Linked DNA regions of Oryzias latipes. The protein of the gene in region 2 purifies or fractionates together with the protein of the main gene of each other region. This does not show direct contact. Links are inferred from orthologs where the notes say so. Each region holds a gene or a part of one and is shown on either strand. Other genes may lie near its edges. The genes, in order: sympk and bsg.

What was found.
Region 1: the proteins of bsg (region 2) and sympk purify together in Homo sapiens (co-immunoprecipitation; 3 studies listed by BioGRID and IntAct, counting the BioPlex papers as one, with this or other methods). This does not show direct contact. The link is inferred for Oryzias latipes from reciprocal best matches to the Homo sapiens genes BSG and SYMPK.

Annotation. Positions count from the first base shown.
Region 1 is NC_019879.2:16,691,240-16,695,619, forward strand, and holds the start of sympk (symplekin), read right to left. Parts: upstream 2,976-4,380; 5' UTR 2,712-2,975; intron 2,505-2,711; 5' UTR 2,467-2,504; coding exon 2,404-2,466; intron 1,944-2,403; coding exon 1,878-1,943; intron 1,767-1,877; coding exon 1,713-1,766; intron 1,615-1,712; coding exon 1,541-1,614; intron 1,445-1,540; coding exon 1,318-1,444; intron 1,221-1,317; coding exon 971-1,220; intron 862-970; coding exon 691-861; intron 604-690; coding exon 364-603; intron 1-363. Other genes in the region: slc35f5 (solute carrier family 35 member F5), read left to right, coding at 3,198-3,256, 4,027-4,168. UniProt on the Homo sapiens protein: Scaffold protein that functions as a component of a multimolecular complex involved in histone mRNA 3'-end processing. Specific component of the tight junction (TJ) plaque, but might not be an exclusively junctional component. May have a house-keeping rule.
Region 2 is NC_019862.2:7,112,563-7,117,131, forward strand, and holds the start of bsg (basigin), read left to right. Parts: upstream 1-1,683; 5' UTR 1,684-1,830; coding exon 1,831-1,894; intron 1,895-3,565; coding exon 3,566-3,916; intron 3,917-4,569.

The DNA.
Region 1 (4,380 bases), on a different chromosome or scaffold from region 2:
CATAGTGAATTTATAATCCACACTGATAGCACAAAATGAAACATTAAAATATAAACCGTGGGGGAATTAAGAAAAGAGCAAGAATAACCTAAAATTTTGAATCTAAAATTCTATTTCTATTAGTCAATCTAAAACTACAGAGTCACCACACAGTAATCTAAAGAATCTCTGGGTGTGATGCTGCTGCAATAGAGACTAACCTGTGCAGAAAGAAAAACTAAGTAAAGCAAAGTTACAGCCTCTGCAAGTGATGGCAAGAAAACAAACACTCGTAATCTTTCAACAAGTCCTTTAAAGACTGTTTTTTTTTTATAAAAATGTTATTTTCTAAGGCAGTCTGCATTTTTGTGGTGAACTACTCACCAATCTTGACCTTCTTTCCCTCTGTGTATTGCTCATAGCGAGGCCTCTTGCGAGGCTCTCGTGGTACAGGAGTGTTTCGAGTTATCTCAGTCTGAGGCATTCCCAGATCCAGCAGCAAAGTGCTGATCTGACCCTGGAACTCCACACTGCACGGATGTTTGAGAACTGCCACCAAGTGCAGCTTTAAGTTTTTTCGAACACTGCTAACCTGAGATTTGGCCAGAGTGGGGGGAAGGTTAGCTAGAAAAAAAGATAAATATTAATGATTGCACCTTAATAATAATGTTAAGGGGATAATATATATTTTTTTGACTAAGAAGCACTCACCGTGGAGGGTCTCATATGCTTGCACCACCTCTGACATGAACATTGGTCTTTGACGGGCAATCGTTGCCAAAGAACCCAATGCAGTGGTGAGGTTAATGCTGGATATAGCTGGGTGGACCATGAATTTTAAGAGCTTTTCCAGTGCACTCTTTCCTTCTTCACACAAAGTACCTGTTGATTCAACAGAATGTAATAAATCTATCCTGCAGTAAGAAAGATTTTAACATGCCTGTTTAAAAAAAAAAAAAAGAAAAAAAAAAGAGAGTTCTAAAATCTTTACCGTAGTGAATGTACGAATGGTCTTTGGGAACTTTGTCAAGGCTAATGTCAGCATCCTGGCGTTTGGGTACATCAGAGTCAGGTGTCCGCGGCGAGAGAGTGATGATTAAAGATTCTGTGAATTTGATGCTGTGTGTGCGAACACCATCATTGTCGGAGTCCAGCAAGGCCAACACTTCCCCTTTCATTTGAGTGATCAAGTCCCAGCATGCCTCCTGCATTTCTGACAGTGTTTTTGAGCTGACCAACCACTGGCAGAAAAGAAACAACAGAAGATGTGGGAACATAAAAACACCGTATTCCTATTATTTTAGCAGGAAATTATGCGAGTGACTTTAAGGTGCATACCTGTAATGTTACTTTATAGAGCTGAGTGAGTGTCAGAATGGCTTTCTTCACCACATTTACACTTTCATCCTTCAGCAGCATGTTTAGATTGGCGATAAGTCTAACAAGGAGCTCATTGTCCCTTTTACTAGTTGGGAAATAGATATAAAAAAAAAAGAGTTTCAATAAATATACATACATTTAAAAGTGTATAAGATGTAAAATGTTGACACAAACAACTAACCATGCTTCCTCTATAAATCCAATGACAAACTTTTTCACTTCTATTGATTTGTCGGTCTGAAACGCTATTATTTCCTGTAAAATAGAATTGGCAAGATACAAGAACATGACTGGGCCGATTTTAACTTACACGCTTACCATTCCTTTGCCATGAAAGGCAGGTGCTTACTTACATCCAAAAAGTTGTCAAGAAGGGACGGATCCTTGTTGATGATGAGCTCTTGAACCTAAAGGAAATTCAAACGCGTGACTTCAAATTCTTACAACCACCTCATCAGCACCTCAGTCGGTGCTGCTGTGTAGCAGTCATCTAAACTGCACAGATTTACACTACCAACCTGTTTGAGAGCAGTCAGCTTTTCATCAGTGGGTATGAGAGAAGCTTGATTCAGAAGCTCCACCACCTGAGAAAAGAAAGAACCAGAGTAAGTCTCTACAACGCTACAATAAGAGGCTAACCAGCCAAAAAATATTAGCATAATTTCTACTATATAGCATGTTTGAGCCAAATGAGGTGTTCTTAGCTATTAACCCCAGACAACTGCAAATGTAGACTACAGCCCCATTTAGATTAAACTGCAGCAATTGTAAATATTTCTTATATATTGCAATTTATCAGAACAAAATCGATGGCAGATTAAAAAATAAAGAATGTTTAGATAGCAAGATCAAGATTTAACTTGCATCACACAAAAAGCATTTAATGATTTGTTGTGTTTCTAGATGTATATTTTAAGACTTAAAATGCTTTATATGAACAATTTCAGATTAAAATATTTCTGTTTTAAAGTCTGCTACCTCCAGATTGTGTTGTTGTCCCTGAGATTGTAAACAAATCTTTCATCTTGTGCTAATTGTACAGACCTTTTCACTGGTGGTCATATCGACCCCTTTCGGAGTGTCCTCCGCCTTAGAAGAAATGTCCATGTTGCTGATGTTCCAGTCAGTAATAATCTTGCATGATCCTGAAAGGAAAACAGAAATAATAATAATAATTTAGAGCATACATAACAATACGAGAATTACGCATAACATCTATATTTTAATTCAAATTACTGAACGTTTTAAGTCAGACTACAAACATTCGTATGTATTACAGAAACACATATTCAATTGATAATACTTAAATAAACAAATTTCAATACGCAAGTCAGTATTTTTTTCTAACTTACCTACACGATTACCAGAATGATGAGAATGAATCCAGTTAGTTAGCTCGTAACATTAGGTTAGCCAAAACGATAAAATAATAATCTACTTTACTAAGCCAACTGCGTTATAGATACACTAACTCTTGTATTAAACGGGTAATTACAAATATGATCTATTAGACAACAAGATTTGCCTTGTTTTAGTACTTATTAAATATATGAATTAACTTTGCTAGCAAGCAAACAAAGCTACCGCCATATTTCATCGAAGAAGCTATGGTACGGTTCTTCTTCGGCTGTTTTCGGATACTCAAATAAAAGCAGCGCCTCCTGCTGGATTTGTGTGCCTCTAAGCTATTTTTGTTTATTTATTTTTTAACTATTAATAAGAACACTAGTATTGTTTACATCACATGGGAAACAAAATATGTGCCATAGACACATTTCAAATGTTTTTAATCGATCACCATTTAACTACAAGTCCCATGAGGCTTAGCGGGATAAGTGATGTCACCTGATGCTAATAACAAGACAAGGAAGTGCTTATGTTTACAACCGCTGGAGTGGTAAAATATTCTCGTTTAAAACGTGTTGTTTTTTAGAAACAGTAATGTAAAAGATCAATCGGACATCAACTAATGAAGAAAAGTGAATGAATACGCCTCGCATTCGGGTGAACACGCCGCTGTTATTGCTTTTGTTACTTTGTTTGTAGGACATTTTACTAGCTCTTAGTTAGCTTGGAAAACAGGCAGCTAAAACGTACCACTGCGAAGCTTGTTTTGGATACAGCTAGTAAAAACTGTGCTTATTTTGTTTTTAATATACAGAACGTCGTATCGTAATAAATCAGTTAATTTTACATCTTTAAATTGCAGACGGTTTCGTGCTCATAGTTTTGATTCTCATTGGGACCACTTATGTTTTACATTCATTGCCACATGAACATGCAACAGAATTTTTGTTTAAAGAGGCGGAGGTCTAGTAGAAAACACGCACATCATCACTTGTAACACGCGTTTATGAGTATTGTTGTTAGTGATGCTTTACAAGCGTATTTCCTGCAACGTGTTAGTTAAGTTAACCACGGTCTTCATTGGAAAAACCTGTAGGAAAGGCCTTTGACTGGTTTCCCAGTCTTAAGGAACTTTTTTTCATTTTTACCTTGTCTTAAAAGTCTATATGAATCTGTCATGGTATATTCTTATAAATTGTACCTTTAGAGCAATGTACAGTGGCATTGTTGCCTTGTCCCTCCAGCAAAGCATACAGTAGAATAAAAAGAGGGAAAAAATATCATATTCGTTTTCCCCTCTATGTCATGTGTCTGTTATAGGGTCTCAATGGAGTGGGTTTTCATCATGAACCGGATGAGCTCTCAGGGAAGCTCTACAGCCCAGCGGAGGAGGATGGCCTTAGGGGTGGTGATACTCCTTCTGGTGGATGTCATCTGGGTGGCTTCCTCCGAGCTAACCTCAGTAAGGACAGTCTGTCAGCTGTCTGTGGGTTGTCATTTAGTGTGTAACAAAACTCTACTGAGACAAACACACAAGAACGTCCTCACAGTATCTTAACAAAGTCTTACAGGAATTAGAGTAGTTTAAGTTCGAATCAGTCAAAGTTTGGCAAATCCAAACTGACTAAGCCAGTTCCTCGAGTTGACTCAAATTCTATTTGTAAAAAATGTATT
Region 2 (4,569 bases):
GGACGGATTTGGGTTTGAGTGTTGATTTTTGACCAAATGTGTTTAGTTGTTTAGCTGTTTTGCACAGTTATTTGTACTGTTATATTGAATCCTTTCTGCACCATGAGTGAGAGGGAGGGAGAGGATGATGAGTTTATATAGCACCCCTACTTTGTCGCGGTGTAACGAATAATTCAGAGGCATGAATATTCCTTGTGATTTATATGTATTTTTTTCATTCATTTTATTGTTATAAAAATGAGTATATCTGCAGGCTCAAATTTAGACATTTGAGAGTTCAAGAATTACAATAAATGAAGATTATTATTTGAATTGGAGTAATATTACATTTAGTTAGATAAAAATGTAAATTTGAGTTGTAAAAAAATATTGAGTTGGATAGACGTAAGAAATTAGGTTGAATAAATTTAACTCAATTACTTGTAACCAATTGAATTAATTTAAGTTGGATAAGTTATATATGCGTCACAATGAAAATTAGATCAGAAACTCTTGTGTTTACTTTGTCCATTCTTTTTCTCCAAGCAGAAACTCTTTCTTTTGCTGATGCAGCCGTATTAATTTATTGATGGACGTATAATAATCTTCATACGCCGTCAGTAAAATCTCAGACTCCGTCTCACTGAAGTACAGCGCTCTCTTTTTTTTCTCCACGCCTTTCCATGGTGACTCCGGAAATCGGCGATCCATTGAGAATGACTTTATGTACTTGACGTGCACGTGCGTTAACCCAGGGTTACCAAGTCAAGCGTAATTACGCCAACTCATATCCGGTCTTTTGGAACCGACATACCCAGAGTAAGCAAGTTCAGGCGGATTTCAGCCAGAGTTCAGGATTAAAGTCAGGATAGTTTAAACATGCTTTCTGGAATTCCCCCCAGGGGTATCAAACCCCTGGTATGGAGGGCTGGTCTGCTGCTAGTATTCCAGAAATCCTGCCTTATCTGCTACTGATTAACCTGTATCAGGTGTGTTTAGCCAATTTGAAGCTTCACTGACAAGTTGGATGGAAACCATGTTGGACACCGTCCCTCGAGGGCTGAATTCTGACACCCCTGCCTTAGAGGAAACAATTAACCAGTGTGGACTGTGAGAGAAAATTGGAGAAAACCCACGCATGCGCGGGGAGAGCATGCTAACTCCACACAGAAAGGTCACAACCGGGATTCAAACGGGGCCTTCTAGATATGAGGCGAGAGCCACTACACTACCATGTAGTCCAGCTTGTGGCGTGCCCAGCGTATTTTCTACGTCAACACAATTTTTTTTCAACTGCTTTTTTCTCGCCTGCTGTTGATTCACAACGATTTGAAACAAGAACAAAACAAAATACTCAGCACTGCAATTCTAATCTTAATTTTCTTTCTATGCGTCCTTCGTCATCAGAAAAATACTATAAGAGCATGTTAAAACACAATTTTCATCGGAGTGGGTCTTTCAAAGGTTTTAAACTTGATTTGTTCTGAAGCCTTCAATCTGAACGCCGCGGTTTAACCTCGCCTGACAGTTTCCAGGGTCTACGGTTCGCTTGTTTTATTTTTTTTAATAAACTTTATTATTCAACACAAATAGAACAAATATGTATGGTTCGCTTACACAAACAAAAAAAAGGCAAAAACACGAAACTTATAGGATTTCAAAGCCACACCCACTATGATGACGTCACGCATACGTGCTGGTAAGGGCGTGTCCGTTAAGTCATAGGAGAGGACGAAGTCTGCGGAGTGGTCTGCCGGCTCTGCCCGTTGGACGTTAGACTCACTGTGGAAGGAGGCTGAGCTGACCGACCGTCTCGATTCTTTGGTCGGACTAGAGTTTCCGCAGTAGACCATGAAGTTCTTGTGGGCCGTCACCGCCCTCCTTCTGGGCTGTTGTCGCGCTAACGCCGCCACAGGTAAAAAAGTCATGTCGGCCATGTTGACTTTGCCCTACCGCTAACATTTCATGTTTTTTTCTGACTTTAGCAGTTTAAATTTCCGATGTTATACCAGCTAGACATCTGTATTAAACCTGTAGAATCCCCACCGTGGGGCTGTACGGTTTGGACACATTGTTCCCTAGAGACCGGTTCTATAAAATCGACGTTTCGGCTAGCAAGACATTAGCTAGTTGTTGTTGGCGACCCAGAAAAATTTTCTGTCTGTTTGTTGATTAAAATGAATTTTAGATGTATTTTGTTGTCAGAATGCCTTACGTAATGGCCTATGTGGTACATGGAATATTTAACACCAACATGTTTGGTATCACGTGAGCGTCCGGTGTATTCGTAATTGCGTAATGTTTGAAGTGATTATCGTTATTAAATGGCGACCATTCGCTGTGGATTCGATGAAAGCGGCATATTAAGGACGACGGTCACGCGGTATTTGTCTCGCGCGCTCCTCCACCGGCGTCCGGGGAGGTGTTCTCGGACTCCCGACTCATGTCCGAACGAAAACCGATCCAAACAAACAAAACGTTCGTGTTTTTCCCAGAGGATCAATCTGTGTCCGTTTGGTACTCTGGTTAACATTTTCATTATTTAAACTAGGAAAAGAACCGTAATTCTTCATCGGGCACCCTATCTTTTAATAGTTTGCAGTGTTAGGCACAAAACTAGCATCTGAAGCATTCTCCTTTAAAGTTAAACCTGGATAAACGAAGTCTGCTGCTCTCTGGTAGGAGATTTTTTTTTTTTTTACACGGCATATCTAAATAAAGCTTTGTTATAAATGGCATTGTCAAGATTGAGGAGTGAATGTTGTGTGGGCTATATTTAATTTGAACTTTTAAAAAAAGCCTTTGCTGTGAAGGTGACCTTTCAACAGCAGGAAGCCATTACAAGTGTAGTTTGTTGAATGGGGGGTGTTAAGACAATAACCAGCATTACCACACCCTCTCAACAGCTCCAGTTTGTCTGTTTTGCCCCAAAGATGAGATTCGTCAGCAGATGACTTGGTTTTCTTATTAATCCCCACACAGGAATGTGGTCACGCTCTGCAGACTGAGCTCCTCCCCTCATTTTCTGTTGTTCTCAAACCTTTCACTCAGATCTCAGATGATGTTTTCTGCAGCCTCATCTTCAAAATATTTAATTATAAACCAGAATGTGTCGTCTGCAGTCTCCACGCTCAGATATGCTCCAAACAGAGCCCCCATTCAGTTGATGAACAATCCTGTTAACCTACTTTAAGTTCCTCGGTCCAGCTCAGTAAATGTGCTTCCTACATTTTTCTCTGTTTACCTTTTTGTTTAGTCATTGAGTGAATGCTCTGTTGCTACCATTCTTGTCATATATATTTTAGGGATGATCATCAAGCTCTTTGTGCTCATTACCATAATTATCTGTTTTTTATTTATTTATCCTATATTGATGTCTGCTTTGATCATTCCAAATTTAGTCAGATGAATCAGTCAATGTGATAAAATTTCCTTATTCATCTGTCTGCTGTCATATTTTCATTTTAACATTTTTTCTTTCTCTTTCTGTATTCTTTTTCTTCCCTAACATTTCATTTTTATCATCCGCCCATTTGAACTCATCACTTTCTAAATTCATCTGCTTGCTGGGTCTGCTGCTAATCAGCGGGTTTTATCCGATCCCCCCTGTCTCAAATGAAACTGATCGATGCCAGTGCAGAGCTGCATTGTGAGGTGATAGGGTACCCCATACCAGAAGTTCAGTGGTGGTTTGTTGAAGGGGAAGAGTCCAACGAGACTTTCACCCAGCTGTTTGATGGGGCTCATAACAACCGTGTAAAAATCAACGCCACATATATCGAACACGCCGCAAGCACCATTCACCTCACCAGACTTTCCCTTGAGGACACGGGCACGTACGAGTGTCGTGCCTCCAACGACCCCGACCGCAATGATCTGAAGAAGACTCCAAAAATCAAGTGGATCCGCTCGCAGGCAAACATTATTGTGATTGAAAGTGAGTGACAGAAGAACCCCGAGGAGAGTCGGGTCAGAGTGGTCATATCTGCATTAGTGAAGTTGTGGACCTCTTAGATCCTGTCCACACAACTGTCCTGTTGTCTGGTCCAGTTCCCTCCCTTCCCTTCATCTAGTGTGTTCTCCCCTCTCCAAAAGCACAACAGCTCTCCTGTAGAAGGTGAAAGTGGCCAAAAAACCTGTTCTGGCTGATCCTTTATCACCCGACGCGAACGTTTTCTTCCTTCAACCTGATGCCTTAAGTAACCCTTCCTACAAATTTTTATATCTTTTTCCATAAATAAAATCTATGAAACACTGGACTGAGGTGGAAATTTGGCAGTTTCAGTGATGAAAGTCTTCCGGGAATTCCCGGAAATCCGGGTTTTTGAGCAAACCGAACGTACTTTCCGGGAAATAAAGACCTGATCTCTACGGACAAATCGCTTTCCGGATTAAAAAATGGTCTGAAATCAGCTAATTTTAGCTTTATTTTCTATATTTCTCCGCAGATCGCTTCCTCTATGGTCGTGGCCATCTCTCGTCTTCCCGGCCTAATTGACCAATGACGGGACGTTTTAGTTGCTTTCGGATGCGTCGACGGGTCTGATTGGCTCTGTCTGCACCACGTGGTCAGCGTGACTTGCTTCCCTA